Elephas maximus indicus: one gene and its partner. The protein of the gene in region 2 interacts with the protein of the main gene of each other region in a pairwise test. Links are inferred from orthologs where the notes say so. Each region holds a gene or a part of one and is shown on either strand. Other genes may lie near its edges. The genes, in order: HAAO and GAD1.

Evidence for each region.
Region 1: the proteins of GAD1 (region 2) and HAAO interact in a two-hybrid assay, tested with the Homo sapiens proteins (4 studies listed by BioGRID and IntAct). The two-hybrid records come from large-scale screens. The link is inferred for Elephas maximus indicus from reciprocal best matches to the Homo sapiens genes GAD1 and HAAO.

Annotation. Positions count from the first base shown.
Region 1 is NC_064844.1:19,958,062-19,969,531, forward strand, and holds the start of HAAO (3-hydroxyanthranilate 3,4-dioxygenase), read left to right. Parts: upstream 1-6,487; 5' UTR 6,488-7,575; coding exon 7,576-7,655; exon of another isoform or gene 7,656-7,934; intron 7,935-10,175; exon of another isoform or gene 10,176-10,696; intron 10,697-11,093; coding exon 11,094-11,172; intron 11,173-11,470. UniProt on the Homo sapiens protein: Catalyzes the oxidative ring opening of 3-hydroxyanthranilate to 2-amino-3-carboxymuconate semialdehyde, which spontaneously cyclizes to quinolinate.
Region 2 is NC_064824.1:69,067,638-69,078,861, forward strand, and holds the start of GAD1 (glutamate decarboxylase 1), read left to right. Parts: upstream 1-6,153; 5' UTR 6,154-6,175; coding exon 6,176-6,257; intron 6,258-9,578; coding exon 9,579-9,641; intron 9,642-11,224.

The DNA of each region.
Region 1 (11,470 bases), on a different chromosome or scaffold from region 2:
CAGATGCCACTCTTCAAAGTGGGTTGCAGAATGTTTTCTTAATAGATTTTATTATGCCAATTGACTTAGATGTCCCCTGAAACCATGGTCCCCAAACCCCCACCCCTCCTATGCTGGCCTTCGAAGCATTCAGTTTATTCAGGAAACTTCTTTGCTTTTGGCTTCAAATAGATTTTATGTATATACACGCACCCGTTGCCATCGATTTGATTCCAACTCATAGTGATCCTATAGAACAGAGTAGAACTGCCCCATAGAGTTTCCAAGGAGCACCTGGTGGATTCGAACTGCTGACATTTTGGTTGGCAGATGTAGTTCTTAACCACTACGCCACCAGGGTTTCCTATAAAAAAATTATATATATATATTTACAGAATTTCTGGCTACTGTCAGTGGGAGATCCTTCTTTGTTTCCAACTTTCGTGTTAAAATCACCAGTAATTATCAATGCATCTTGATTGCATGTTCGATCAATTTCAGACTGCAGCAGCTGATAAAAATCTTCTGTTTCTTCATCTTTGTCCCTAGTGGTTGATGTGTAAATTTGAATAATAGTCGTATTAACTGGTCTTCCTTGTAGGAGTATAGATATTATCCTATCACTGACAGCATTGTACTTCAGGATAGATCTTGAAATGTTCTTTTTGACGATGAATACACCACCATTCCTCTTCAAGTTGTCATTCCCAGCATAGTAGACTAAAAGATTGCCTGATTCAAAATGGCCAATACCAGTCCATTTCAGTTCACTGATGCCTAGGATATCGATGTTTATGCATTCCATTTCATTTTTGATGATTTCTAATTTTCCTAGACTCATACTTCGTACATTCCAGGTTCTGATTATTAATGGATGTTTGCAGCTGTTTCTTCTCATTTTGAGTCATGCCACATCAGCAAATGAAGGTCCCGAAAGCTTTACTCCATCCACGTCATTAAGATTGACTCTACTTTGAGGAGGCAGCTCTTCCCAAGTCATCTTTTGAGTGCCTTCCAACCTGGGGGGCTCATCTTCCAGCACTATATCAGACAGTGTTCCGTTGCTATTCATAAGGTTTTCACTGGCTAATACTTCTCAGAAGTAGACTGCCAGGTCCTTCTTCCTAGTCTGTCTTAGTCTGGAAGCTCAGCTGAAACCTGTCCTCCATGGGTGACCCTGCTGGTATCTGAATACCAGTGGCATAGCTTGAGCATCACAGCAACATGCAAGCCCCCACAGTACGACAAACTGACAGACATGTGGGGCAACTATACACATGGACCTCGCCAGATAGAGCACACAGAAATCAAATTGACTACATTTGTGGAAAGAGACAATGGAAAAGCTCAATATCATCAGTCAGAACAAGGCCAGGGGCCGACCTGGAACAGACCATCAGTTGTTCATGTGCAAGTTCAAGCTGAAACTGAAGAAAATCAGAGCAAGTCTATAAGAGCCAAAATATGACCTTGAGTATATCCCACCTGAATTTAGAGACCATCTGAAGAATAGGTTTGACGCATTGAACACTGGTGACCAAAGACCAGAAGAGTTGTGGAATGACATCAAGGACATCATCCATGAAGAAAGCAAGAGGTCATTGAAAAGACAGGAAAGAAAGAAAAGACCCAGATGGATGTCGGAGGAGGCTCTGAAACTTGCTCTCAAACATCGAGCACCTAAAGCAAAAGGAAGAATTGATGAAGAAGAACCAAACAGAAGATTTCAAAGGGCGGCTCGAGAAGACAAAGTATTATAATGACATGTGCAAAGAGCTGGAAATGGAAAACCAAAAGGGAAGAACACACTCGATGTTTCTCAAGCTGAAAGAACTGAAGAAAAAATTTAAGCCTCGAGTTGCAATAGTGAACGATTCTATGGGGAAAATATTAAATGATGCAGGAAGCATCAAAAGAAGATGGAAGGGATACACAGAGTTATTATACCAAAAAGAATTAGTCAATGTTCAATCATTTCAAGAGGTGGCATATGATCAGGAACCGATGGTACTGAAGGAAGAAGCCCAAGCTGCTCTGAAGGCATTGGCAAAAAAACAAGGCTCCAGGAATTGATGGAATATCATTTGAGATGTTTCAACAAACGGATGCAGCACTGGAGGTGCTCACTCGTCTATGCCAAGAAATATGGAAGACAGCTTCCTGGCCAACTGACTGGAAGAGATCTGTATTTATGCCTATTCCCAAGAAAGGTGATCCAACCGAATGTGGAAATTATAGAACAATATCATTAATATCACACGCAAGCAAAATTTTGCTGAAGAGCATTCAAAAACGGCTGCAGCAGTATATCGACAGGGAACTGCCAGAAATTCAGGCCGGTTTCAGAAGAGGACGCGGAACCACAGATATCATTGCTGATGTCAGATGGATCCTGGCTGAAAGCAGAGAATACCAGAAGGATGTTTACCTGTGTTTTATTGACTATGCAAAGGCATTCTACTGTGTGGATCCTAACAAATTATGGACAACATTGTGAAGAATGGGAATTCCAGAACACTTAATTGTGCTCATATGGAACCTTTACATAGGTCAAGAAGCAGTTGTTCGGACAGAACAAGGGGATACCGATTGGTTTAAAGTCAGGAGAGGTGTGTGCCAGGGTTGTATTTTTTCACCATACCTATTCAATCTGTATGCTGAACAAATAACCCGAGAAGCTGGACTGACTACATGAAGAAGAACAGGGCATCAGGATTGGAGGAAGACTCATTAACAACCGGCTTTATGCAGATGATACAGCCTTGCTTGCTGAAAGTGAAGAGCACTTGAAGCACTTACTAATGAAAATCAAAGACCAAAGCCTTCAGTATGGATTGCACCTCAACATAAAGAAAACAAAAATCCTCACAACTGGACCAATGAGCAACATCATGATAAATGGAGAAAAGATTGAAGTTGTCAAGGATTTCATTTTACTTAGATCCACAATCAACAGCCATGGAAGCAGCAGTCAAGAAATCAAAAGACACATTGCATTGGATAAATCTGCTGCAAAGGGTCTTTTTAAAGTGTTGAAGAGCAAAGATGTCACCCTGAAGACTAAGGTGTGCCTGACCCAAGCCATGGTATTTTCAGTCACATCATATGCATGTGAAAGCTGGACAATGAATAAGAAAGACTGAAGAAGAATCGATGCCTTTGAATTGTGGTCCTGGCGAAGAATATTGAATATACGAGGGACTGTCAGAAGAACGAATAAATCTGTCTTGGAAGAAGTATAACCAGAATGCTCCTTAGAAGCAAGGATGGCGAGACTGCGTCTTACATACTTTGGACATGTTGTGAGGAGGGATCAATCTCTGGGGAAGGACATCATGCTCGGCAGAGTACAGGGTCAGCAGAAAAGAGGAAGACCCTCAACGAGGTGGATTGACACAGTGGCTGCAACAATGAGCTCAAGCATAACAACGATTGTGAGGATGGCGCAGGACCGGGCAGTGTTTCTTTCTGTTGTGCGTAGGATCACTATGAGTCGGAACTGACTGGACGGCACCTAACAACAACAAGAGAAATCAGTGGGAGGATTAGTTTGATAAAGCTGGTACGTCAATAGCTTGTGTGACCATGTAATTTATCCTCCAAGCAGGGCAATTTCTGAGAGCAAAAGGACGCACTATTAATAATACTGGATCAATAGGGTGCAAATTGTTGACTGTCCCAGACAATCTGGAACATATGGTCATCCCAATCATAGCTCCCTTTTGTACTGCTATGAATACATAAAACATAAGCAGGGAAACATCCTTGTAAAATTTTTCTAATTGTAGGAATATAAATGGGATGTGTGCCAGATATCAATTTTATTGCTTTTCTGCTCCAAATATGCCCTTCTTTGCACTGCTTTGTGATACTAGAGCTGGACCCTGAAAATGTTTCTGCTCTGCCAGCTGGTGCCAGTGGTAGACCTTGTCAGTAGAAGGTGCTAGAGGGCCACCCAAAGCTAAGGGAGCAGAGTTGCCCTCTCACTGGGCCTGTAAGGTGGAGCTGAAGCCCAGGGCCGAGGGTCCTCCATTCAGAATGTAGACAGTTTGGGCAACACCCTGAGTCTGAAGTTTGGGGCCATTGCCCAGATGGTCCCAGAGAACAGAGGATTATTTTCAAGCCTTGAGAGCCAATGTAATTGGTTTTGTTGGGTTTGGGGCTTTTTTATTGCCCATCGCTTCTTTTCCTCTCATTTCTCCCATTTGTAATGGAACTAAATGTCTATCTTGTGCCTGTTCTACCACTGTATTTTGGAAACAGATAATTTGTATTCTAGATTTCACAGGTTCACAGATGAAGAGGGATTTTGCCCCGGGATGGAATATGCCTTAAGTCTTACCCATTTAGATGGTTCAGAAGATGAGATTTGGGTCTTAGAGTTCATTTAAGACTTTTGGGATGATATGATGGAGTGAATGTGTTTTGCATGTGGGAAGGACGTGAATTTTAGGAAGCTAAAGGGGGAGGGTAAGGGAGGAATGTTACGAATTGAATTGTTTCTCCAAAAATATGTGTTGTAAATCCTAACCCCTATACCTGTGGTTGGAGCCCTGGTGGCTCAGTAGTTAAGAGTTCAGTTGCTAACCAAAAAGGTTGGCAGTTCGAATTTACCAGTTGTTGGATTGAAACCACTTGGAAACCCTATGGAGCAGTTCTACTCTCAGGTCGCTGAGTCGGAATCCACTCGACAGCCATGGGTTACACCTGTGGTTATAATTCTGTTTGGGAATAGGATTTTCCTTGTTATGTTAATGAGGTAGTATTAGTGTAGAGTGTGTCTTAAATCAACCTCTTTTGAGACATAAAAGAACAGATTAAACAAGCAAGCAAACACAGAGGGGAAGGTACACACCACTTGTTGGCAGAGGAACCTAAGAATAGGAGCTGAAAAGAAACAAGGACCTTCCCTCAGAGCAGACAGTGAGAGAGTGAGCCTTCCCCTAGAACTGGCACCTTGAATTCGGACTTCTAGCCTCCTAAACAGTGAGAAAATATCTGTTCATTAAAGCCAGCCATTTGTGATATTTCTGCTATAGAAGCACTAGATAACTAAGACAAATACCCTACATAAGCAAACTATATAAGCAGAGAATATTCTTTTCATAAAAACCTGAAACATTCATAAAAATTGACCATAACACTAAGCTGCAAAGAAGATCTTAGTATATTTCTCCACCCAAAAAGTAATATATAGGCCATCTTCATTCACCACAATGGCAATAAAATTTGAAATGAAAGACAAAATGGTAACAGAAAAAAAAAAAAAAACCCATACATCTAGAATTTTTTAAACAGCTTTCTTCTGAATGATGCCAAAACACCTAGATAAAACGGGGACTGTCAGTTTTCTGAACGTTGCATTTGAATGGTTCCCAGCACTCAAACTAGGTGGCTTGCCAGTTGAGTAGATACAGGGTTTTGTCTACACAGCACAAGCCAGAGGGCATATTTGACACTGATAGTAGTTTAAACTGTGTAGAAGGTTAATTTGGATTATTCAGACCCCTGCCCCCCCAATTCCACTGTGGACTCAATTATTTACAATATTTTACTACATCGATTAAAATACAGGCTAACTATCAATTCTTTCCTTTGTACTACGTAACTGAACATCTGTTGGGCTGAAATCAAATTTTCCCCCTTTTAGTGTGAATTCATTCATGCCTTCATCCACCCACTCACCCATCCATCCACTTAACGAGCATCCAAACCAACATAACACCTCATAGATCCTCGGTGTTTTGTGTGTCATTGTTTACATCGCCTCTGATTCCTGGTAGATGAGAAAGATGAAGAATGTGGCTGGGGTTAACTCTGCTGCCAAACAATATTCTAGAAAGAAATACACCAACTAAAATGTTCTAGATAAATAAGGAAAAAGAAAAAGGGAGAGAAGAGGAAACAGACACGGGGGTCCCCCGAGGAGGTGGGAGGAATCCTGTTTGGCATCTGTTTGGGTTTTCTCTTCCACCAGGGGAGTCTATGTCTGAGGGTGCTCTCAAAACCAGCCCACCCCAGGCAGCACAGAGGAGGCAAGGTGGGCTGAGAGAGCAAGCGTTGGGGGGAGTTTAAAATGCCTTAAACTCTATATAGTCTGGACCCTGCGGTCTGGGTCCTGAGCTATTTTCCTTCTTCCCCACCCACCAGCTCCCCACTCCATCCCTCTCTAACATACAAACGCAATTTTCCTAAGAATCTGAAGTCCTGAAGAAAGGGGAGAAGGGCATATTATCTTTCGCCTTCCTCCACACCCCCCGCCCGTTTCCTCCACAGCACACCCACACACCCACACCCACACCCCCAGATCTCTCCCTCCCCCAGGATAACGGCGTTAGGGTTCCCCACTCGGGACTGGAATCATCTTCACAGGTTCGTCTGCCACCTCCCCTCCCCCCCCAGCACTTACACACACACTCGGAGATTCCTGAGGGTGAGGACACAGAGTGGCCCGTTTCTTCGTCTGTAAGATACGGCGGCGACCCCTCCCTCCTAGGATTGTTTTGTGTTTTGTAAGGGGCTCAGCGCCGGGCACAGCGTGCGTGCTCACTACCAGGCCAGCCGAGAAGACTGCGCCCTCCAGCCCGGAGCCGCGGTGCCCGCGCTGCGCCCTGGGCGCCCGCGGCCGACCCCCGCAGCCCGGCGCCCCAGACTCCCGCAGCCGGGCTCCCGCCAGCCTCTCCTGGCGTCCCGAAGGCAGAGCAGAGCGCGAGGCACTCAATAAATCCGGACTCTGGTCTGACCTCCCTCCCCGGGAGAGGAAAACCCAAACCAAACCCGAACCCGGTGCCGCCCAGTACATTCTGACTCAGTCGACACTACAGGACAGAGCGGAACTGCCCCATAGGGTTTTCAGGGAGCGGCCGGTGGTTTAAACTACTGACCTTTTGGTTACCAGCCGAACTTTTTGACCACTGAGCCACCAGGGCACTGACTGGGGACTGTGGCCACCCTTTGCATTCTCTTTCCACTCCATGCGCGCTACTATCCTATGAGATGGTTGTGCAGCCATTCCCATTTTTCAGATGGGAAAACTGAAGCTTAAACCCAGTGCAAACACACAGGTACTCAGGCGCTCCCCATCACAGTGTTTTTGCGGGGCCTCTCTGGAGCCCAGATGGAAAATCTGGAGATAAGCGACCAGGAAGGGTATCGAGCCCGTGTCTTGCGCCTGATATCAGGCTCCTAACTCGCGCACGGGTGTGGGGGCGCCCCCAGGATGTGAGGCGGGGTCTGGGAGGGGTCCGCCCGGGAGCGGAGCCCCAGTCAGCGGAGAAGTAGGGGGCGAAGGGCGTGCCTCTGCGTGAAGCGGGACCCCTACACGCTCCGGACCCTGCCCGCCGGCTCCCCACCGGCGCTGAGTCCCCAGTGCTCAGCAAGGACAAGGCCTCAGGGCAGCGCCGAGGGTAGGGGTGCTTCAGGCCAAAGGCGGGACCCTAGCCCTCGGCATCGCGGTGTCTTGCGGGGGAGTGCTTCGCCCTTTGACCCTGGAGATACTGATTAACCGGGCGGCCAATAGGCGGCTGGGTGGCGCAGCGCTCCTCCGTCGGCCTGGGAGGACACTGCTCTGAGAAGACCGTGGTTCCCGGGGAGGCCATGGAGCGTCCCGTGAGAGTGAAGACTTGGGTGGAAGAGAACCGGGCGTCCTTCCTGCCCCCAGTCTGCAACAAGCTCCTGTGAGTCCCAGGCACCCTACACCCCTACTTCCACCCTTGTGTTCTCCCTCCTTCTCTGTCTGCACCCTGACCCCTCACCCGAAGCCTGCAGGAAGGGGGCTGTCATTCTCAGGGTGCCTTCAGGGAGTGAGGACGCGCTGTTCCGGGTCCCACCACCCTCCATCTGTTCCTCTTTCTGGTGACTCTGCATAGTTTTGGTAAGAACTGTGACCTGTCCTCTGCGGATGGCTGGAGTAGTCCCACCTCCTCCCCTTAGGGCTGAGGAACAGCTGTCCAACCGTAAGTGACCCCCCAGCACTTAGAGAAAACTGGAAAGTTTGAGGAGGGTGATTTTCCAAACCAAACCAAACTAGTTGCCCACCAGTCAATTCCGATTTATAGCGACCCTATAGGACAGGTGGTTTATAGGACAGAGTAGAACTGCCCCACAGGGTTTCCAAGGCTGTAATCTTTACCAAAAGCAGCCCGGGTAGCACAGTGGTTAAAGGGTTCAGCTGCTAACTGAAAGCTTGGTGGTTCGAACCCATCAGCCTCTCTGAGGGAGAAAGATGTAACAGTCTGCTTCCATAAAGATTTACAGCCTTGGAAACCCTATGGGGCAGTTCTACCCTGTCCTATAGAGTGGCTATAAGTGGAAATCGACTCAACAGCAGTGGCTTTGGCGGTTAGTCTTCACTGAAGTAAACTGCCACATTATCCTCCCACGGAGTGGCTGGTGGGTGGGTTTGAATCGTTGACCCTTCGGTTAGCAGCAGAGTGCATAACCACTGTCCCACCACAGCTCCTCAAGGTGGTTTTAAATGACCCCAAGTTGCAGTAGTACCCAGGTCTGCACGCAAAGGGTGAAGTCAGAGGACCAGCTCTTTCCCCATACACACTCACACCAGGCCTCCCTAAAGCCACCTCTACCTGCAGCTCCTGACAGGGCTGACCTCAGTCTACCTTTCTCAGGCAGACCTCTTAGGCCCTCGCCTGTATCCATCTCCTCCCTCTTCTTCCCACAATTCCCTGGGGGGCCTGGTGAGCTCTCAGCTCATGTTCACGTGCCTGCAGGATAGCTCAAACCTCAAACAGTACAGTTAACAATTTCCACCCACATCTACAGGCCAGACTGTGCCAACTGTCTTTTCATCATCTTATGTAATTCTCATAGTAGCCCTATGAGGTGGGATTTTAATAAGTAACCTGCCCAGTGTCACAGAGGTAGGATGGGGCAAGTCCATGGAACACTTTGACTCTAAAGTCCACACTCTTGATCACTATGCAACATCACCATGGCTAATAGTCAACCTCTCCTCAACAACCTTGTCTCTTGTATCACTGCTGTCACCCCCAACTCAAAGCTTTATGGTTGTCTTTTTCTCTTTCCTCCACTCCTATCTCCCTCCACAGCCACGTGTTCTCAGTTCTCCACCTTCCCCCCTTGGGTGTATCTCACATTGGTCTGCTGTCCTCCAGCACTATGGTCACTGCCCTGGCTCCTCCCTCCAGCCAGGCAGTACTGACTGCCTCTACCCCCAGGACACTCTCCAGCCCTGCCCCAGTATTAAAAACCACAAAACCACAGGCCCCTCCCTTTACTCAGTGAACAGATATCTGCTGAGCACCTACTGTGGGCCAGCCACTGTTGTGGACACTGAGAATACAGCAGGGGACGAAACTGACAAAAATCCCTTCCTGAGGAAGCTGATGTTTAGTGGGAGGAGGCAGCTAATCAGTATAAACAAGTAAGGCAGGTGGATATGAGAGGCCTAGACATGGCAGGACCATAGATGTGGCAGGGCCCCAAAAGGCAGAGTAGAGACTGTGGCTTTCCTCTCAGCAAAATGAGAAGCTGCTGGAGGATCCAGAGCAGAGGACAGGCATGATCTGACTGGTGGTGGGTTGAAATAGTTCTTGAGTGGGCTTGTTCAAGAACTTTCTGTGTATTTCTAAATCATAGCTCAGTGAAGCTCATTTAAAAAAGAAGAAAGGAAGGAGGAAGGGAGAGAGGGAGGAAAGAAAAGAGAAATTTCCAAGCCTCCCTGGTATCTCTCAGATCAAAACCAAACTCAAGGCTGGAAGACTTGGTCCCACCTCCTGATCCAGCCTTCCCCGCCACTACTCCTCACATCATCAGGACCCAGCACCTTCACTGTGAGGGCATCTGTACCCAGTTTTCCCCTCCACTCCCTTCCCCAAATGCTTCCCAGCTTCTGTTCACTCCTCAAAGCCCCCCACAACTTTAAGCCCAGCTCAGGACCACTCCAGTCCAGCCTCCTCCTGCCAAGTGACCTCTGACCTTTCACATGTTGGGCATGACTCTAGGTGTGCATGTTTCTTGTTTATTGAGCCCTGTCTCCTGAAAGAGAAGGAAAAGCAAAGAATTTCCTGGCCCTGTGACCTTCTCTGAGCCCCTTTCAGCGTCTGTAAAATGAGAGGGTTGCACTAGGTTTATTTATTTTATCAAACACTTAAGTGGTGCTTACTCTGTGCTGGGCACTGTTCTGGGCGCTTAGAGATACGAATTCATGTAGCTCATATAAACTTCAGGAAGAACTCTCCATTTTACAGATGAGGAAACTGAGGCACAGCAAGGTTAAGTAATGTACCCAAGGTCCGTGGGAGAGCCAAATTTGATCCCAGGAGACTCATTCCAGAGCTGTGTGTTTTACCTACCGTACCACAACTCTGAGTCCATGGAGCCAGGCCTGGCGGGTTTTTGGAGAGTGGAGGTTCTCATAGTCAGACAGCTCTGGAGGATGAGAAAGGCCACTTCACCCTAGACGGCCCCCAGCTTGCTCTCCTGTAATTGGAGATCTTGAGCATAGTCCAGCAGCGGAGTACCCAGGTATGCCGTTAGTTTTAAATTGCTGAATGATCTCTCACAGCTGGTCAAGGAAGCCACCATGGCCAATAGAAACTGCTCATTGACGTCCTCTCCTCTCCCCCCAAGCGGCGCCCAGGGCATGCACCGTACCTGCCATACCCAAGATACGCCTCTGCCCAGGGATCCTGGTTGATGAAGAGAGAGCTCCCCACCAAGATGTTCCCCCTACTAGGTCAGAGGTCAGGGGCTGTGCTGACGATGTGGGACCTGAGATGCACACAGATGGACATACACAAAGACACAGACACGCACAAATACACTGAGACACACCCAGGCAGACACACACAGACATGCACACATAGATACACACAGAGCGACTCAGACACACACAGTCACAGACGAATGGACAGACAGACCTTAGATGCACACGGTCACACGCTGAGGATGGGAGCTGAGGAGGGACAAGCATGTTGGGAGACTAACAGGGACAGTGGTGCACACACAGCCCTGCTACCTTCCCCCAGGTGTCCCCCGGCTCCCTCCCTGCCCCCCACAGGCCTCTGCCCCGCTCCTGTCCTCACTCCCAGGAGCCACTTCAGGATCTCACCCCCCACCTCCATCCATTGCAGGCACCAGGAGCAGCTCAAAATCATGTTTGTCGGGGGCCCCAACACGAGGAAGGACTACCACATTGAGGAGGGTGAGGAGGTAGGTCTATGAACTGCCTCTCCCCTGACTTAACCCCGGGGTGGGACTGCCTCTCTGGAGGCAGGGTGCTTCCTAAGCCAGTGCACCAGGGCCAGAGCTTTTGGATGGAGAGGGATGGACAGGCAGCTGGTATGGGGGATGGGTGAAGGGGCGCAGCTGAAATCATGGGGGCGGGGGAACTGCTGCCTGGAAGTAGGTGGGAGGGGGCACAGGGACATCTTCTACTGCCCCATCCTCAAAGGAGTCTGAGCCAGTGAGCTGTGCTGGGGGGGTGCCCATGAAGTGGCCTGGCTGTTGT
Region 2 (11,224 bases):
AAGAAAGAAAGTGGATTTCATGCACTCCCTTCTGTTTCATCTAAAGGAGAGGAGACCCAGGGTGTTCTAGGCCACTTCTGGGCAGCATCTCCCAGCATTAAGGGCCCTGCTTTGTGAAATACGGAGGGTCTGAGCGTGAACTGGGAAGAGCCTTCTGTCTTCCTTGAACTGTTGCCTTGTGGGGCCCGTTGTTTCGTCTCAGAAATTGTAATCTAACGCCATCTGGTGGTCACTTTGTCTTCATGTTTGGAATAGCAAGAATCGGGGTCTTAAAGGTTTGCACAATATTTGCCCAAACGTAAATCACTGTCGTCTTTGATTAATTTCTTTAATATTAGAATATTTTCATCTTACGGACATCAAGGGAGAAGGGACCCTTTGACAATTATCTGAGGAATTTAACTATCTTCCCTTTGGGACATTGTTGTAATTTCCGGAGTCCTGTCTAGCGTTCTGGCTAGAACCCTGCCTCCCCTGTCACTCTTTTAACCCTTTCCTATGTCGCTGGAGTGAGTGTTGTGCGGTCTGTCAGACTGGGGGTGTTGATTAACTATCAATGAAGGTAAAAAATGATTTGGGAAACTATCTTTAAGGTACACGAACACATCGAATGAATATTAGCTCCCGCTTAAAAGCCGAATGTAAGGTTAAGCAACCCTTTCCCCAACCTTTGTATCGGGAGACCAAAAACCAAAACCAAACCCACTGCCATCGAGTCGATTCCGACTCATAGCGACCCTATAGGGCAGAGTAGAACTGCCCCATGGAGTTTCCAAGCAGCGCCTGTATCGGCAGACAGCCGTTTAAACGGTGAGCTCTGCCATTTTTTTTTCTTTTTTGATCATAGAGACTTAAAATAGACTTTAACGAGCCAGCTAAAACGAACCAACCCCGTAGGTCTAAATTACCTTTCCTGAATGCTAAAAATGCTAAATGCTCCAAAAAAAAAAAAAAAAAAGATTGACGTTTCTTATCTACTCACCTTGACGCGGACCATATTTTATACGTCAAAACCTCCCCCTCAGCCCGTTTGGGCGCCTCTTCCACGCCAACGCTCCTCCCAACCCCGTTTTTGCTTTGCGGGAAAGGCTTGGCCCCCCAATCCGGTTGGAGTATCTTTAAACCTCCTGGGGAAAGGGCATTCTAGGCGGAGGGTCGCGTTCTCAGGTCTCAGCCATCCTTGACCTAAGGGAAGGTTGTCCTTGGAGGACAGAATGGAGCCGCTGGAGCCGCGGGCTATCAAATCCCCAACGCCCGGGAGAGACTGGAAGGGTCGCAGAGCGCCCACTCCTTCTTCTGTCTCTGGTTCAGTGTTCCTATTTCTTCAAAGCACTAAACCTTAGATCAAATGGAAATGAAACAGCTGGGCGGATACCACTCCTTTCCGGCCCACACTTCACCTCCGGTTCCAGTCCCTGAAGAGGATTTCTTTTTTCCACCCCCATTATCCAAAACAACCTCCCCGCCTCCCCCGCAATAAAAGATAAAAAGAAAAATGAAAACACAAACAAAAAGACGGATTCCAAATGTTTTGAAGGGCCAAAAGACAACACGGCCACCCTTAGCCCAAATCCTAACCAGGGAGCGGAGGGGTAAAACACCGCACTCTCCAACCTAACAAAACAAACGCAGGATCTTCTGCCGGGAGGGAGGTAGACAGGAGCCCAGAGGGTTGGCAAAGAGCTACTGGCGGAAGCCAGCGAAACAGAGGGCTAGACTGAACCGAACAGCGGACGCTGTCCATGGTGCTGAATGAGCTGGGCCCGGCCTCAATGCTGAATAACTGGGATTGGATGGAATTCCAGGCCTCCGTCCCTTCCCATCCCCGCTGAGTCTGCGTTGAAAAAAAAAAGTGGGAGACAATTGAAAAGTAAATCAAAGCCATAATGTGCCAAGTCTGCCACTCTCCCTGCCTAATTGGAAAGTCAACGTCATGAGTTCAGAGAGCACTAGGGGCAATGTAAGCTCCACGAGAACAGTACCTGGCACATAAAAAACCCAAACCTGTTGCCATGAGTCAATTCCGACTCATAGCGACCCTATAGGACAGGGTAGAACTGCCCCATAGGGTTTCCAGGGAGCTGCTGGTGGATTCGAACTGCTGACCTTTTGGTTAGCAACCTAACTCTCAGCCACTAGCCACCAGGTCTGGCAGGTAGTAGGTGATTAATAAATCGTCGTTTAGCTAACTGATTACTAAGAAACATTTTTAAATTAACGACGAACTAGGGCCTTCATTGCTCCCTTCCCACCACAGCGGAGAAAGAGGGGGGCACTCACTTTTAATCTGTGATACCTACAGCCCTGGTGGCACAGTGGTTAAGAGCTACAGCGAGCTGCGGCTGCTAACCAAAAGGTTGGCAGTTAAAATCCACCTGCCGCTCCTTGGAAACCCTATGGGGCAGTTCTACTCTGTCCTATAGGGTCGCTATGAGTAGGAGTAGACTCGATGGCAACGGATATCTAGCCTTGTGGAAGACTCTCCCCTCGCCCCCCATGAGATTATTTTGCTGGCTAAAACGTTGGAAGTGAGCGTTTGTGACGCTGGGGTCAGAGGAGGAAGTAGTTGAAATGTTCTCAATCTGGTGCCACAGGTGAAGTAAACGAATCTTCCTTTCTGAGGAATCTCAGGACTTGGGAGAAGGTGAGGAGATGGAGGGCAAGCAAGCGTCTTCTAGGGAGAGTGGACACTGAGGGACACCGGGATTGTAGCCTCCTCCGGCCCGTCTCCTTGTCCCTCGCGTCTTGAATGATTTAGCATTGTCACAGGACTCCCTGATTTGTGATTTCTTTTAGGTAAAGCTTGAGAAAGGGTCTTAGGTGTAGGTGAAATTCGGCGCTTCGCTTGGTGGTTAATCGTGCATCTCAAACGACGTGGAGAACCTGGGCGGTTTAGGGGAACGTTTCCTGCACAGAGCGAGCACGCCCACCCTGCCCAGCCCGGAGCTCTGGCGCCCCGGCGGGCTGCGGTAACCCAGAGCCTGCGGTTCAGGATGCATTGGTGTCATTAAAAAGTGCCCGGGCTTTTCTTAAGAGGTGTAGAGAAGGTAACGGTATTTTCCTTAATATCAAGGGCAACGCGGTTATTTCAATCCTCACATTGAGCTCCCTCTTGGTGATCGGACTGTAACTCCTCAGGGCGGCATCTTCTATCTTCCTTAAGGAATTTTCGGTGATTTGTAAGACTTTCGGCGTTTCCACTGTGTCGTGGTGAAAGGCGATAAGTCATTCAAAGAGAAGGGACGGGCCAGCCGGGCCCCAGATGTACTATAAATAACCGCAGCCTGCTGCACCGCAAAGGGGAAAATCTGTGAAAACGAGGAAAGAGATAATTGGTTACATGGTCTCACCGCCCCGCCCCCCACCACCACTTTGTTTTGACCTAAAGGAAAGGAAACCGAGCGAGAGGAAAAGAGAGAACATATGCTAGTGAAGAGGGTAGCTGAGGGATGAGCGAGTTATAGAGCCCCGCCAGCCTCTCGAGGTGTTGGTTTGGGTGCCCAAGAAAAGACCAGGCGAGCAAAGGGCCTCTCGGTCTCTGGGCGCCTGGCGCCCTCTGGTGGGAAATTTTTCGATGAACGCCTTTTTGTTGCGAGGGGAATTTCCAAACACAACAATGCATTAAATATGTTTAAATATTGCAACAAGAGAATCCTAAAACGGCGTGAAATCGAAAGGAGAGTGAGGGGAGTGGGCCAAGGCGGGAGGGCAGTCCGCCCTCAGGCAGATCCCCGGCGTCACCTCTGTGCTCGGCTTTCTCTTGCATTAGGAGCGGCGCTCGTGCGTGTTATTAACCTTCAGACGTGATCAATCAGGAGGGCTCCTTTCCCCTACCACCAAGGTGGCCAGAGCTAGGAAGGGAACGCACACTGAATGGAAAAAGAGGCCGTTTCTCTGCCGGTGGCACCGGGTGGTTGTTCTCAGGTGAGGCGGCTCTACTTTCTAGAGACCCCAGGTGGTTGAGGAAACGGGGATGAGGAGATGAAGGTTCTCCTATGGTCTGAGCATTTCCCCCTCATCTCTGTCTCCTTTGGCTCTACAACAATTGTGGCTCAGCGGAGAGCCAGAAAGGACACGACCCAGGGCGCGTTTTCGCAGATCTGGGGGAAAGTGATTCAGGCAAACCCACTGCTCCGGTCTTCTGGGAGATATTGGGGGGCGGGGGGCGGGGAGAAGAAGCGCTCAGGGTGGCGGAATTCATAGGAATTATCTTTTCCCTCCTGTCACCCGACACCTTGCCTACTTAAAAAAAAAAAAAAAGAGCATGTTGAGTACGTACTGGATTACTCATAGGGCCTTTTTCCCCACCCCCCGGGGGGAAAACCGTGATCTGTATTTATAATCGCCCTATAAAGCTCCAGAGGCGGTCAGGCACCTGCAAAGTACCCCGCCGCTTTGCCGACAAGCGGCCCCCGCAAGCAGCTGCCTCGTGATTCCCCCGCGGAGCGGGTCCCCGCCTCCCCACTCCGCCCCCGCCTCCCCCGAAGCCAAGCAGCCGCCTCTCCGGATCTCTCTCTTCTCCTATTGAGGCTCGCGTGCGGGACAGAGCCAGCTAGAGGCAGGCGGCGGCTGGAGGTGACGCCGGGCAGATTACGCCTGGGGCAGGATCCGGCCAGGAGGTGTTGAGAGGTTTTCTGCGCGCTGCGCGGAAGAGCGTCGGGAGCGCCTGGCTGGTGGCAGCCGAGTCTAGGTGGGTAAGCGCGTCGCCGCCCGGACTTCCCCAGCTCCCAGCCTCTGCCATTCGGCTGGGACTTTTTCGCCTGTAGATTCTCGGTCACCCATCCCTATTCCCTAGCGAGGGGAATGCGTCCCGCCCGCCCCAGCCCAGGCTCTCGGTTGGTGCCGGGCTCAGAGACCTCCGCCCCCCGCACTCTTCCTACCCCCGCCCTAGGCAGGATTCACGCCTCGTGCTGACGTAGGGCTAGAGAGATTTTTCCCTGCTTCTCGCGGCTGAGAATGCCGGTGTCGGCAAGGGGCAGCACGCAGCAGCAACACAAGGTGCGTCTCGGAGTGGTAACCTGTTACTTCCCCAGCAGCCGCGATCTGCCAGCAGCCCGGCGTTACTGTAAGCTCTGTACGAGTGCGCGCGCGGGGCTAAGCGTGGGGTCCTGGGCTAGTGGAGGTGGCGGCCCGCCCACGCTCCTCTGCAAGGTCTTAGGTCTACCCAGATTCGCCTGCACTCTCTCTGTCCCGGGGCTTTCGAACGCCATCGCGCCAACGCCGCGCGCCCAAGTGTCGCGCCGCGCACAGTTCTTTTCTTGTCTGCCGCCTCCTGCGCGCTGGGTGCAAGTTCGTTTCTCTGGTAATTCTTCCCTTTTTTGCCTCTTCCACCCCCTTGGGTCTGTATGGCGAGAAATGTGGGGTTCTCGGGGAGCTGGGTGCAGGGGAAAACACTGAAATCAGAGCTGTACCTCGCCCTAGGCTTCCAGATGGCTCAAAGAGGGGTGGGACGAGAGCGAGACGAAGGAGGTTCCGACCCGCTGCTTTCTGGCTGTCTGGAGTGCAGGGTGACCGTGGTTCTTCCCCAGCCAAGTCCAAGAGAGAATGTAAAGGAATCGGCCTTTTTTTCCCCCTCTCACTTGGCCTCACCAAGGTCCCCGGTCCCCGGAGCAGATAGCATCCTTCTTTCCAGGGAATTAGCCAGACACAACAACGGGAACCAGACACCGAACCAGACGTGCCCGCCCTGTGCGCGCTCCCCCCGCCTGCCTGCCAGCCCGCCCGCAGCTGAAAGCCCAATGGGGCTTGTCGAGGCTCGGCTCGAAAAATCGCACACTATCCTCCTTTGCCATCCTAGCCCGGTCCCCCGTACCCACGCGACGCTCACAGGCCTTGGGCCCCCTCGTCTCAGCACTGCGCTCCAGGTCTTCCCGCTGCGCGGGACTGGAGAGCCGCCCGGGGCTGCGTTGCCAGCGCCCCAGTCTCCGATCTCGCACGCAAGTCTTCTCCTCCCTCCGGCCCACCCCAGCCCAGCGCACTCGCTGCCTTTCCTCCCTCCTTTCTCTTGTGCTTGGGGACTCCAGCCCGAGCGTCCGTGTCCCCAGCGGCTCAGCTATCTTTCGCGCGCGAATCCCCAAAGCCCTCCACGCACAGCTCTCGTTTCTCTTTGCAGCCTTTTTCTGCGCCCAACCCACCGAGGATTCCGGACAGCAGAGGCCTCGCGACGAACTAGCTGATGGCGTCTTCGACCCCTTCCTCATCCGCCGCCGCCTCGAACGCGGGAGCGGACCCCAATACTAGCAACCTGCGCCCCACAAGTAGGTCCCGCCCTAGTTTCCGGTCAAATGGACTGCGGGAAAGATGAAGGCACTGGGAGTTGGGGAGGCTGCGTTGGCAGAAAGAGGAGGAGCGCGGAGATGATGGAGGCCGGGAAATAAATAGGGCTCTGACCCGGGGCCCGGCCAGAGGTCACTCGGCTGCCGGAGACGCTGGGCGGCTCCCTGGGCGCCCGAGAGCGATAGACGTGCAAGGTCGCTGCACTGGCGATGGTTGGGGGCTCCACTGCGAGGGAAGGACCTGAGGCGTGAGTGTTGTTTTTGTTGTACTGTGTGTGGTTTCCTTGCGCTGCGGGACAACGAGGGTCAGGGCAGGGGGAGGTGTGAGAAGCTGAGAGCCCCAACCGGGATAAAAAATTTTCTCTCTCGGGCTTTCGCTGGGTCTAGATCTGACCTCCTCCCTTCTCCCAGCGCTGTGCTCACAGTCTATAATCAGCGGAAATGTCGACGTTAATTGCAGCTTTTAGAAAACTCAGAGTCCCTAATTGCTCCAAATTTGCGTTGAGCTATTGACGAGTGAGGGAGAAGCCAGGGGCGGGAAAGGTGCATAAAACGGCTGGAGGCTGAGCCTCGACATTTCAGACAATTAATTACATCTCAGAGACAAAAAAAAAAAAAAAAAGTGGGCAGCATACTGAGTGGCGAGGAAGGGGGGACGGGAGGAACAGGAAGGTTTGCTAGGGCGGGCGGAGAGAACTCCCCTCTCCTTTCTCCGGTGTAGGAGACCTGTCAGCAGGAGACACGCCCGGAAGTTGGAGGAAGAGGAAGGGGGGATTTTCGCTGCCCTACCTCTAGCTGAGCTCGTTCTTCAGCCGGTTTCCAGAATGTGTCTTTAATTGATTGATTCCCTACCTCTCTTTAGAGGCCTGGGGATAAGAGGATTGCTTTTCTTTTTCTATGTTAAATTAAAATGTCTTCACACACACACACAAATCTATCAGCTGCAGACCGTAAGGGCCTCAGAATTTTTTTATAGAAAGGGTTTAGGAACAAGCTTGTGGTTTAGAAGGAGCTTATTGCTGTGCTTTTATGTCGCTTCCTATAAACTTGAGAAAATGTCAGTTTTCATAATCAACAAAGGGAGGGGGCTGTTAGCGGTAAGCCCCCTCTCCAGCTCCTTGGCGCAGTCACTGGCTCCCAGGCATAAGGCCTTGTCTTAAGTCCTCAGGCTGCGTTCCAGTTCCCTTTGAGACTGCCTCCCCCTCCCTCAGCCCATAACCCCCAGGCAGGCTAAAATTACCCACACAACAAAGAGGGGCTCCGGAGCGCCCCCAGGCTTGGTGGCACCGGAGGCAGAGCTGGACCGAACAGCCCCAGAAGAACGAGAGGCTTGTGTGCCTTTTGTCTGTCCTCCTCTTTTCCTGTCCTCCCTGCATTTCCCACCCCATTTTTTGCTGCCCGGCAGGGCTTGGCGGCTGCTGCTTTCATCCTTCCTACTAGAGTCATTTCTCCCTTGGTCGTGCGCTCCCACTTCTCGGCGCCCGCCGGCCGCGGCATGTAAATGCCCGGCCTAGGGTTAAGACCCAACAGAGGCACTGACCCTAGTCGGCACGCGGCCAGGGGCGCCTCGGAACCGCCGAGGCGGAGGGAAGAGAGCCGAGGTCCGGCCAGAGAAGAGCAGGCAGCAACCGCCCCCTAATAGCCCACCCCTAGTCGCACAGTAGAATGCAAGCGTATGTCCTGCTCTTCTCCCGCTCCGGCCCTCCCTGCAGACTTACCTTCGCCCGCCTAGCGGTCTCCGCTTCTCTGCCTCTCTCAGGTCTCCTGGGAGGTGGCTTTGCTCAGCCCGCACGACCTTATTGGCCTTTTGCTCCAGCGATCATCTGGTTCCGGGACGGAGTCCTCCTTGACCTCGGCCCCTCGGTCTTCCGGACTGTCGCTACACCACGGAAGCTCTCTAGCTCCCTCTGCTCGTCCCCCTTTTTCTCTTGCTGAAGCCCCCAATTCTGAAAGGCAGTGCAATGTGTCTGAACTCCAGCCTCCCAGCTGGGTGACCTTGGAAAACTTACTTGCCCTCTCTGAGCCTTAATGTTATTTGCAAAATAGGTCTTAGATTAACACTCCTCCTACCTGTTTCATAGGGTCGTTAAGAGGGTTAGATGAAGTAGTGTTTATCTGGTGGAAATAGTTCAATACCCGCCAGGTATTAATATTAGGGTTTTGCTTTCGCACCGATTTCCTGTCTGTCGTGGAACCCCATCTGTGACATGCTGTCTTACCGACGTCGGGCTATTTCCTCTCCCCGCTGTGTCTCTGTTGTGCCTGGGATTTAATGGATGTCACTCTCCTTATCACAGTTAACACTCGCGCTGAGCTAGAGGCGCGGGCCGGGGTGGGGGTGGGGATGGGAGTGATTGGAGGCGTTATGAAGTATTGGAAGGGGATTTCGCTCAGGGCCCACCACACGGACCCAGACGGCGACGCAGGCCGTACAGGCATGGGGCTGCTTTCCTTGCTCATTGCTGCAAGCTGAACCCGAAGGCAGGTAGACCCTGAGAACAGCTAATCCGGTCGCCCTTGGGGCCACGGCTCGGCCCTAGAGGAAAATTCCTGCTTTTCTTCGCTTTTGCCTGCTCCGGGCCTGAAATGCTCGAGACTCAGGTCTGGGGCACAGATGCCGGAAGGGTTAATGAGGGGCAGGTTGGGAAGGGAGGTCAGGGATGAGGACCGGAGGCGCACTGATGTCTTCCCGACTCCTGGTCCGACTGAAGGGCAGTCATGCGAGCCCGATTATCTAGTCAAATACTGTTTTTCACCCAATTAATTCTTGAACTCTTCGGCGACCCCATTTCATGCCAGTTTATTTTAAGCTGCCACTCGGCTGGAGACCCGCCAAGAAATTATGAGACGTTTCGGTCCCAGATGCCTCGGTGTTCCCTTTCTGGGCTGCTGTGGTCGTCCTTGGAGTCTGAGGGGCAGAGACCAGGGGGCAGGGCCTGGCGGGTTGGGGTTGTGGACCACGAGGCTTGGCGGTTTCCGAGCGGAGTCGGCTCCGCCCCTCCCGACCCCGCCTCCCTGACTCCCCCCGGGGTACCTTGGGGTCTGGCAGGGGCGCTGGATGTGCCGCCTCGCAGAAACACTGTCGGTACCTGAAGGCGGGAGGAGGAAGGGGGTGTGATGAGGGCTCGTAGGGCACGCGTCTGCTCGTCTGCCACAAATCTTATCTGCTCCTTTCAGGAAGGACCTTCTAATAAGGGACAGTGGAAAGGAATCCCCGCCCCCCGAGAAAACCTTTGCCCTTGACCCTGTCCCCCATAGTCCGAGCTGCACTGACCGCACCTCTCTCGCTCTCTCTCGTCTTAGCGTATGACACCTGGTGCGGCGTGGCCCATGGATGCACCAGAAAACTGGGGCTCAAGATCTGCGGTAAGTGAAAGGGCCAGCGGGGGCTGGAGGGACGCGCAGGCCTTGTCTGTGTGGAGAGTAGAACGCATGTGGAGGGGGATCTCGGCTCTTGGGTCTGGTTTTCTAAGGTACCTGCAGACCCCACGCCCGACGGAGACGCTCCCACAAGGCCCTGAACCACCTCCGCCCTCCCAAGGCCTTTTCCCCTGGAGCCCAGACCACGTGAGACCCAGTTGAGGGACCACCGGGTGTCAGATCTGGGCACAAAAGCGCGAGGGCAGTGCCCCCGCGCGGTAGCCCAGCTCTCCCTGCCAGTGCCTGGGCCACCCTGGCAGGTGCGCTCGGTCCGCGTCTCCAAGGCTAAATAGAAAACGTGAACTGCTCTGGCTTTCCTGGCGAGCAGGCCAAAGGCGCATTATCTGCCTAAACCGGTTAGTGACCCGTCGCCCCATTCTCTCCTCCGCCAATTCCACCTCCCTTCGGTCCCCTGTCTGGGCGCATTGAAAGTGGCCTTCCGGACTTGAGGTTTTTGCCCCGAGATGCTGTAACGGATTCAGGTTTCGTTTTGGGGGCCTCCGAGGCAAAGGGAAAAGATAGCCTGCAGTCCTCAGTGGCCTTTTTGGGGGAGGTGGCGGCGGTCAAAGCCCGAGGGTTTGCCAGGCGTGCCCTCGCTGGCGAAGAGAGAAGGGAAAGAGCGCAGGCGGGGACGTGGGGCCGCGGGTCAGGCACGATTTGCCAAGAAGGAAGGAAAATAGATCTGCAGAGCTGGAAAGAAAAAAAACCTCCTGTCCGGAGAAGTGAGGGGCTGAAATGAATATGCTCCGGGGATTTTTTTTTTTTTTTTTAAAGGAAAAGAGGTTTATTGGAAGAGACACAGATGAGTGGCTCTGGCTGAACAATGAGGACTTGCTTTCTTTGCTACATTTCACCGTCTAAAATTCTCTAGCCTTATCGGGCCAGAAAATACGGCTGCCCCTGGGCAAGGGGTGGAGAGGCGGGGGAAGATTAACGAGGGGCTTATTAAGGACCCATCCGTCAGCTGCTGCGCGCGAGAGATAGTGGCGGAGCAGGCGCCGGGCAAGCACCCAGGGGCTCCATCGGCGGAGCTCTTGCCCCAGCCCCTGGCGCGCCTGCGAATCGGTCGGTGAGTGGGTGTTCTCTAGGCCTGAGCTTCCCGGCTTCCCGGGGCCTGTCCCGGGCCGCGAAGGTGGCGGCAGAATGAGGCCCGAAGAGAGAGGGGTTATTGAGCAGCCCCCTGGAATCATCCCTCTGGCCCACTTTTCTGAGTTTCTGTGGCCCTGTCCCCCTGATCCCGGAACCAGCGTTTACGTTGAGGAGGGGGAGCTCAACCCTCAGACCAAGCGATGTTTCAGGGAAAATCCCAGCCTCGCCGCGGGGCGGCCCCGGGGTTTGGCCCTAGCTCCAGCTTGGGTGGCCCACGGGGCAAAGCCGGGGCCACGTCCGCGCAGGGGCAGCTGGCTGCGGCCTAGCTTTGTTCTATAAATAGTCCACTCCCCCAGCCGCCATTCCCGGCTTAATGGCCCGTTTCGCGCCAGGTCTCTTCGGCGGCCGCCGTGCTCGGCTCCTGCAGCCGGCATTGTCAT